2 linked regions of the Oreochromis niloticus genome follow. The protein of the gene in region 1 purifies or fractionates together with the protein of each later gene. This does not show direct contact. Links are inferred from orthologs where the notes say so. Each region holds a gene or a part of one and is shown in the gene's direction. Other genes may lie near its edges.

Region 1 (3,925 bases):
TTACTGCACAGAATCTGAGCATCTGGATTTGATTAAAGCTCTACAAGGGCAAGATCCAGACAGAAAAGAAACCAATGAAACTAAAGAGGGGCAGCCAAGAAGGAGACATGCAGTAGGTTAATATGAGCTGTCAGGTCGTGATGCAGATGAGAGGGGAGAGTCAAGCAGTTTGGGAAGTTTGATTCTACAATAATGCTGCTGTACCCTTAGCAGTGATATCATATATACATTCATGCAGTGGTTCAGTGTTTACTGCCTCACAACAAGAATGTCCTGTATTTGAAACCGGGTCGTTCTTCTTGTGTCAGCGTGGGTTTCTCCCACACTCCAAAGACATGCACAGAGTTAAGTTAATCAGCAATTCTAAATAGAGCGCAGGTGTGAATGTGAATGTAATAGCCCTGACAGATCCAGGTGTACTTATTTCTTGAATTATGACAGCTGGGATGGCCTCGCCCACAAGAAAAGATGGCCATTGTTTTTGAAAGCATTTGATCAGCAAGATTATTTTCCAGAAAGATGAGCAAGGTCACATTCTTCCTCGATGACCCCGTATTTCATTTTTCTAGTTAAAGAGAGACACTGAAGTGACCTTTGTGGGTATGACTGTTTGGACGCCACATTGCTACTGTAGAAAGACACAAATGATGCCACATTATTAATGTACATGACGGAATATGATTTAAGAGTTACGATAATTCGTCACTTAAACATTTAAACTAACTTTTAAACTAAAATAATCAATTTTTTAAAAATGTAATAAGTTTTTTTTTCTATTGATGTAGTATTTGTTTCTAAATTGAGTGACTTTCTACAATTATGATATGGGTTTCTTAATTTAATTTGGGGGAATTAAAGAAAATTTCCGTTTAGTCGTGATTAAACTCATAATGTATGGTTTAAAAGTGCATAAACCTACCAGCAGGACATAATCCGAGGACTTTCCCTACAAGTGGGCGGGTCTGTTTCTTCGTCAGGTTAACAGGAAATATCAGTATCAGGAAGTTGAGTGTTTGGAGATTTGTTGTGTCGCCAAATGTGCTGCAGTAGTTTTTATTAAAGTTTTACTCATTGAAAGCTCGGATACACACAGTAAACCTGCCGTTTAAACACAAAAAAGGCGTGAAAACGCGTGAACGCTGCGTGTGGAGTCTAAGGTAGGACTTAGGAGTTGAAATGTTGACGCTTTTCTCCTTGAAAATAAAACCCGAAGACTAGTTCCAGCTCATTTTATATGAACAAAGAAGTACAAAAGAAAAGTACATTTTTGTGTGTCGGTGAATAATATTTTTATAATGAGTAAAAGGTTGGCGGTATATTTACTGTAAGTCAGTCTATGAAGCTTAAAACGAAACCCCTCAAGCATGTAGCGCCCCTGTAGTGTTTAATGGGCCTCTTAATAGTCTGCGACTATATGACAGCTAGTTTTCTTTATATACACGTAGCGGGCTTTTTTTTAATAAGCTGGACTCGCCTATAGGAATGTTTATATGTATGTTTAGTCTCTTTTATTGCAGCTGCTGTAAAACATAAACTCAGTGTTTATGTAGTTTCACAGTTTGGAGAGCTTTTATCTCATCCATCAGACCCCTACAGTCACATTTATAACAATACTGATAATACAATAAATTCCCAATTAGATTTTTTTTTTTCATTTTTTATAATAGGTTAATTAGCTTATGGGAATTCATACAGCTTTTTGTTACTTTTTTTTGCTTTCTAGAAGCCACCAACACTGTTGTTTCTGTTTCTGTATACACGTGTTATCACCTACAGGACAAACACAGCATTTCTTTTCTTACTTTCCCTGACCAATAGGCAAGTTACTCATTTTTACCAAATTAATGTTTTACTCTTGGACATTTTACTCTTACTCTTTGGACATTCGCTGCTTTTTCTCTCATTTTTAGTCTAGTCCTTGTACCTGATCATTTTCAGGGGAATGTTTGGTTTGTTAAGCCACTTAACAGTGGCCTATGAATCATTCAAAAAGGCACCTAACCCAGAAATGAGCCAGTGTTTTGTTTACATATAACATAGCAAAGAACTAACTTAAAATTGTATATTCAGACGCTAAAGGTCTTTTGCAAAAACACATTTGTTCCCATTCCTTTAGATGAATTTACAAACAAAACAAAAACAAGGGCATAAATGTTGGGGATAAAATGTTTATATAATGTTTTTGCATCAACCAAGTGATTCCCAAACACCGATCAGTCAAACGGTTGGCATATTCTGGCATAGTGTGCAGTGTGTTTGAGGAAACTGGACAAGTGGAAGGCAAAAGATGAAGTTGCAAGACTAAAACTCATGTTCTTAGAAATGGGAAATAGTCCAGCAAAGACCTGACACAGAAGCTGCGAGATGCATCCTGACCTTCAGTCGATCCACCTAATGTTCACTGACGCCTCATCAGAAATGGTCTCAGTGGAAGCGTGGCTATTCTTAAGGAAGGGAAATGGGGAGAAAAGGCCAACACGAGAACTGAACTGAAAAGTTAGTGGCAACAGCTCTGACGGAGTGATGAACCAGACCTGAAAATTCTAGTTCCAGTCGTCGTATTGAGTGTCTACAGCCATCTATAAAACACGGTGGAGAGTCAGTCATGGTTCTGGGCTGCATTTAATGGAATTATGAACACAGACAAGTACTGTCAGACTTTGAGCCATCACACTGTACCATCTGGAAAGAATCTAATTGTCTATGGCTTCGTTTCTTTCAGTAATCCCAAACAGTGCTAATGCAGGAAAGACAGACCTGGGTAGAAAAACACAAGATAGGAAGCTTTCAAGATTGTTAGAATCGTAGAAACTGTTATGTTATTTTGTATCTCTATGTGTGTTTGCATGTTTCAATCAATCAATGCACCTATTATCAGTTTTGCTAGCAAAATATAAAAGGTTGACTCAAGACCTTTGCATGTTCCTGTACAAACCAGAAAACACTGTAGGTCTCAGAGCTGAGAAGCTTGAAACAAGGCTTTTTTTAGGCATTCGTTCAAGACGAAGCAGTTAGTTATTTGCTTGAGTACTGGTTGCATGCTCAGACAAATGCATACTCCCATGACATTTTTCAGGACAAACGCAACATTTTAGCCTTAGTAATGGGTCATGACGGATCCACTATTTTTGTTGTTTTAGGTGTAGGTGAGGAGGTCATGAATCGAGTACCCCTGCAGCAGCCGCAGAGCTGCGGGCCCTGGGAGCTGAAGGAGCGGCTCGGCACCGGGGGCTTTGGGAATGTCACAAGATGGCAAAACAAGGTATTCACTCCACATACTTCTAGCATATTGTTACATCTTTGAGAATCTTATATCTTTAGGACATAATAGACAGGAAAGAGGATGTTTGAATAACAAACTATTACACTGACAAGATAATTCAACATGTCCTGCTGGAGTTTCCGGGAAGCCATCGGCTCTTACCACTGCTGATCAAATTTTAAAGTTAAGGTTTTGTTTAGATGCAAATAGTCATTTTAAAATGGAATCAAAAATGAAACTTCACTTGTGTGTTTCCCTCTTTGTGTTTAGTAAAACTTTAAAATGAGGAAAACTTCCTCAACCTGCTGAGGCAAATCTTCCTTGTTCCTCCTACAGCGAAAGCTCATGTAAACAGTATAATGACCGTGGAGGTGGATTAGCTGTAGGGTACAAATTAAACTCATCTTTTAGCTAATGTTTGTTTGTATTTCACTAAGATGACACTCGTGGAATTGTGTGAAAGAATGTATAAACAGCTCTCACTGGATTATTTTGATACTACAGAACTCTTGAGGATAAAAATATTAGGTCCCCTATGAAATTCTAAGTATTTTAGTTTTTAAAAGAGTAAGTAATTTTTAAACTTGCTAGTTTTCTTCAGAAAGCATAATTTATTTCTATTTGAACAAAACAACTATTATTTCATTAAAAAAAACAATTTAT
Region 2 (3,925 bases), on another chromosome or scaffold:
GAACCGTCGTGACATGGTGGAAATTATGAAGACATAAAAATCACTCTACTTTAACTCCAAATATATCCTTTTTTTCTGATTTAATTACTACATTTCCTATAAAAAGAGAAGCTTTTATGCTTCTAAGAACTCAAAAGTCTGAAGTTTGCCCAATATATGTTTACAGTTACCACAGTTTAAAGTGAGAAATAGTGAGAACAGACATGAAAAAATGACTACAGCACAACTTTAAAAATAAATGCACTTGAATTAGTGTCTCCAGTCAGTGATACTTTTCACAGAATAAATCTATTTGTCTTTTTCCTGTTTATCCACCAGGTAGCACCAGGTAACCACGTGATCTGGGTATTAATACTACCAACAACAGCATTTCTGTTATTGTAGGATGTTTGCTCCTTTATCAACTCACCGAGCAGCCCAGCTTAAAGGTTTCACAGTATATTAGGCAGTCAGCTGTACAAACCCACAACATATGAGCTACATGTGTATTAGAGTCGTCTCTCAGTCGACTTACAGGGAAAGCAGGTGAATCGACAATGATATTAAGGGTTGATATTAAATATGCTAATTTGGGTACTCCCTCGCAAACATTAAAAATAAAACTTTTCCATCAAAGCTCTCTGAATGTTGCCTTGAAGTCAGGGTGTTTTTCTTTATGTAGTTTCACCAATAAGTTTCACTTCGTACGCTGCGATGGGGTAGTTGCGTTCACTGTGTGCTCGGAAATGCAACTTCTGCAAATAAATATTTCTAAGCCAATGGGAAAATCAGCTGACACCAAAACTATTGAAGGACAGAGTTGTGCTTAGGTAAAGTATTTGGTATGATGCATTTCATTTAATTGGTTATCGTATTTTAATTTTGACCACCTATTTAAACTATTTATTTATTAGTTCAAATAGGCAGTAAAGCAGCAAAACTGAAACATCATCTATGCTGTTTTAGTAAATTTGATTGATCACTTCAGACCGCTTTCATGAAGTGAGAATATCCTTACAGTCCGTGAACGCCACGTGATATCACGCTTAAATGCGCCCACTGTGCTCCCTCCGGTCTACAAACGCTCGGATGGAGAGCAGCTTCAGCTGCGAGCTCTAAACTTCAGCGGGCACTGTTGTGTCTCTAAGGTCAGTACACTTTCCTTTGGTTTCCACCCCGAGTTTTCTGAACTTTAGTCAATAACTAGAGCGAGAGAAAAACATTTCTCCACACTTTTTAGGTTTTAAGCGTCTGCTTTGTAATTTGCGAAACGCACGTTTGCTATTAGGTGGTGATGTTATTTTTAGAAACACAGAACGGGTGAAAATAATCTGCATTCATTCACTGACAAGAAAACATCTGTATTTAGAGTATTATAAAGTTGTGTAAGTGTGTGTGTGGGTGTGCGTGTGTGTATGTGGGTGTGAGTCACACTTAACACCTTTAGTAACTATACATTTGTATGAACACAAATACACTAAAAATGCTAAACTAAAAATACTTACATGTAGGGGTTTCCTTGTGGATTAACTACTGTATTATTATTATTATTACTACTATTGTGTAAACAGGAAGCTGATCTGGGGTTACCCACTTCTGCATTTAGGTAGTTTGTGCCATAATACTGAACAATAAAATAAGGCATAATTTATTTATAGGTGTCTTTCAATACATAAAAATAACAAAACAATTCTATAAATAACAAACTCACAAGTAAAGGTGATAAATTGCAAAATGGTGACATCATTTTAAACTTAAAGTATGAGAAAATGCATCAACATACATAAATACACTCACAGCATTTTACTGTCTGGAGCTGATTGAGCGGAAATTCATTTGAGCCAATTTACACAGTAAATCATAAGAACCTGATCAATACGGCTGGATTTTGGGGTCTTAAACTGAGAAACTCGGAAAAAAAAATTATATATTTATTCATCTGCCATTTTTTATAGAAATATTCATGCAGTCTGTTAGAGTTACATTGAAATTAAACAATTATGGTGTTATTGTTTAGTTTAGATAGCGCTGAGTTCACAATGCCACAGTTTTTTTTCCATTATATTATGTAGAAGTTCCTCCTGCACCACTATGTCTGTAATAGGCTGATATTGGTCAATAATGTGGGCCAGCATTGTGCAATATTGTGTCTGCATGCTATGGTTTAGCCTCTAATGAAGCCATTAGTGTAGGTTGACCTTTAAAGGTTTTGGCCTGTAGTCGCAGTGTCAAACTAAGCAATGTATTTCGCTGACGTTAGCTGCTGAGGGTCAGCTCTTTGTGTGTCTTTAAATGAGTGACCGCTTCAGGGATGCTTTGAGTGTCGAAGCAGCAGCTACTGTATGGTGAAAGGCCTCTGCCACACACATGGACCCCCTGTCAGTAACAACAAAGCTCTCCAGCCTCCTCCTTTAGCTGCTTCAGAAAGCAAGCGCATGCTGTGCTTTGATGTCGCTGGGTACAGAGGGTCAGGTGGGAGGCTCGTTAGACTTTGTCCCCTCTCATGAAAGCTTTCTGAAAGGTCTCCAGCACCGGATCACTCGCACTTGACCTTCTTTGTACCTCCATGAGTGGGTTTGAGGATGGGCAGGGGCGAAGGGGGGGGTGTTGGCATTTGAGGAACAACGGGTGGTGGCACCTCAGATGCCAGCACACATTGTGTTTTCTCATAGCGCACACTGCAAAGTAAAGTCTGTTTATTCTGTATTTTGGCTGTTTGGAAGTAGATAAACATCACCCACACGAGTGCATCACAGAGATCTGACGGCTTCTGTTCGAAGACAAACACAAAAGTGTGTTTGTGTTCTTATATGTGAGGGAAAATAGTTCTAAATAGTAATCAAAGGGATTGGGGCAGCTTATTTTAACAATGACCCCTGTGTTAGTCCTGCTTAAATCCACTTAGGTTTAGAGAGCTGTTGCTCTGACAAAAAGAGGGCAATGCCTTTAGGATGTCATCATGGGCATCAACTCAAAAGCTGTGCAGCATCTGGTGTTTATTGAAGTCCATTGTGTTATTTTAGAAAGTATATTTAAGTAAATAACGTGAGTGTTTCATGAGCATCACACCACAGAGGTGTAGGAAACACAAACATCTTAAATCTTGAAGCCCCATTAGGTTGTTAAAATCAGCCTTTTTCTCACTGACCGACAGCATCAGCTCGTTCCAACTCTTTCAATGCTGCCACTTTTTCCTGCAATTTTCTTCTCAAAAGGAACCACATTCGATGATTTCTGCATCATTGTCTATAAATTTCACAGCACTGGAGTTCAAAGTTTGCTCTTCTGGTTTGAAGAATGGGTTTAAGTTTGTAATCAGCTCCCCACCTGCTTGTTATCGCTCGTTATGCACATCAGTGTGCTTTAAAAAGAAAACTACAGGTGGGGGTAAGGAGCGCACACTTTATTTCCTTCACTCTTCTTTTATCAGTACAACAACAACAACAACTGGCTCGCTGCACCTGCAGTTGCAGAAACAGATAGATTCAAATAGATTTTCAGCTTTTACTGGGTGATTCCGTTGCAGAATTACATTTCCTATTAACATGCTTCTTTTCAGTCTAATACAACCCTGAATTTGCATTTTCAGTACAGCACTGCCTGGAAGATTTTGCTGGTAGGTGACTGACTCATATCACCAGGCCAGTAATTGGAAATGTGGCATATGTAAATTTAATCAGATCAAGTCAAGGTGGCTCTCATTTCAAATCTGAAGTAACACCTCACAAATAACTTTCACAGCTATGAAAACCAGCAAGAGATAAAGTTAAGAAGTACAAAACTCAGCAAAAACCTTATTTATGGTAGGCGTTATTAAAAGCAGGCTTTAGGTTTTAACAAAAATAATACATTTTGTTGACGAATTACAGTTATTTTTATACTTAGTTCCCTATTTTTATGTGTAAAAGAAAAATCTGACTTAAAAGCAGCATGTGTGGACTTAACC

The links.
Region 2: the proteins of ikbkb (region 1) and prkcq purify together in Homo sapiens (affinity purification with western blotting; 4 studies listed by BioGRID). This does not show direct contact. The link is inferred for Oreochromis niloticus from reciprocal best matches to the Homo sapiens genes IKBKB and PRKCQ.

Annotation. Positions count from the first base shown.
Region 1 is NC_031977.2:25,966,361-25,970,285, reverse strand, and holds the start of ikbkb (inhibitor of nuclear factor kappa-B kinase subunit beta), read left to right. Parts: upstream 1-976; 5' UTR 977-1,157; intron 1,158-3,140; 5' UTR 3,141-3,157; coding exon 3,158-3,262; intron 3,263-3,925.
Region 2 is NC_031981.2:17,752,723-17,756,647, reverse strand, and holds the start of prkcq (protein kinase C theta type), read left to right. Parts: upstream 1-1,039; 5' UTR 1,040-1,127; intron 1,128-3,925. UniProt on the Homo sapiens protein: Calcium-independent, phospholipid- and diacylglycerol (DAG)-dependent serine/threonine-protein kinase that mediates non-redundant functions in T-cell receptor (TCR) signaling, including T-cells activation, proliferation, differentiation and survival, by mediating activation of multiple transcription factors such as NF-kappa-B, JUN, NFATC1 and NFATC2.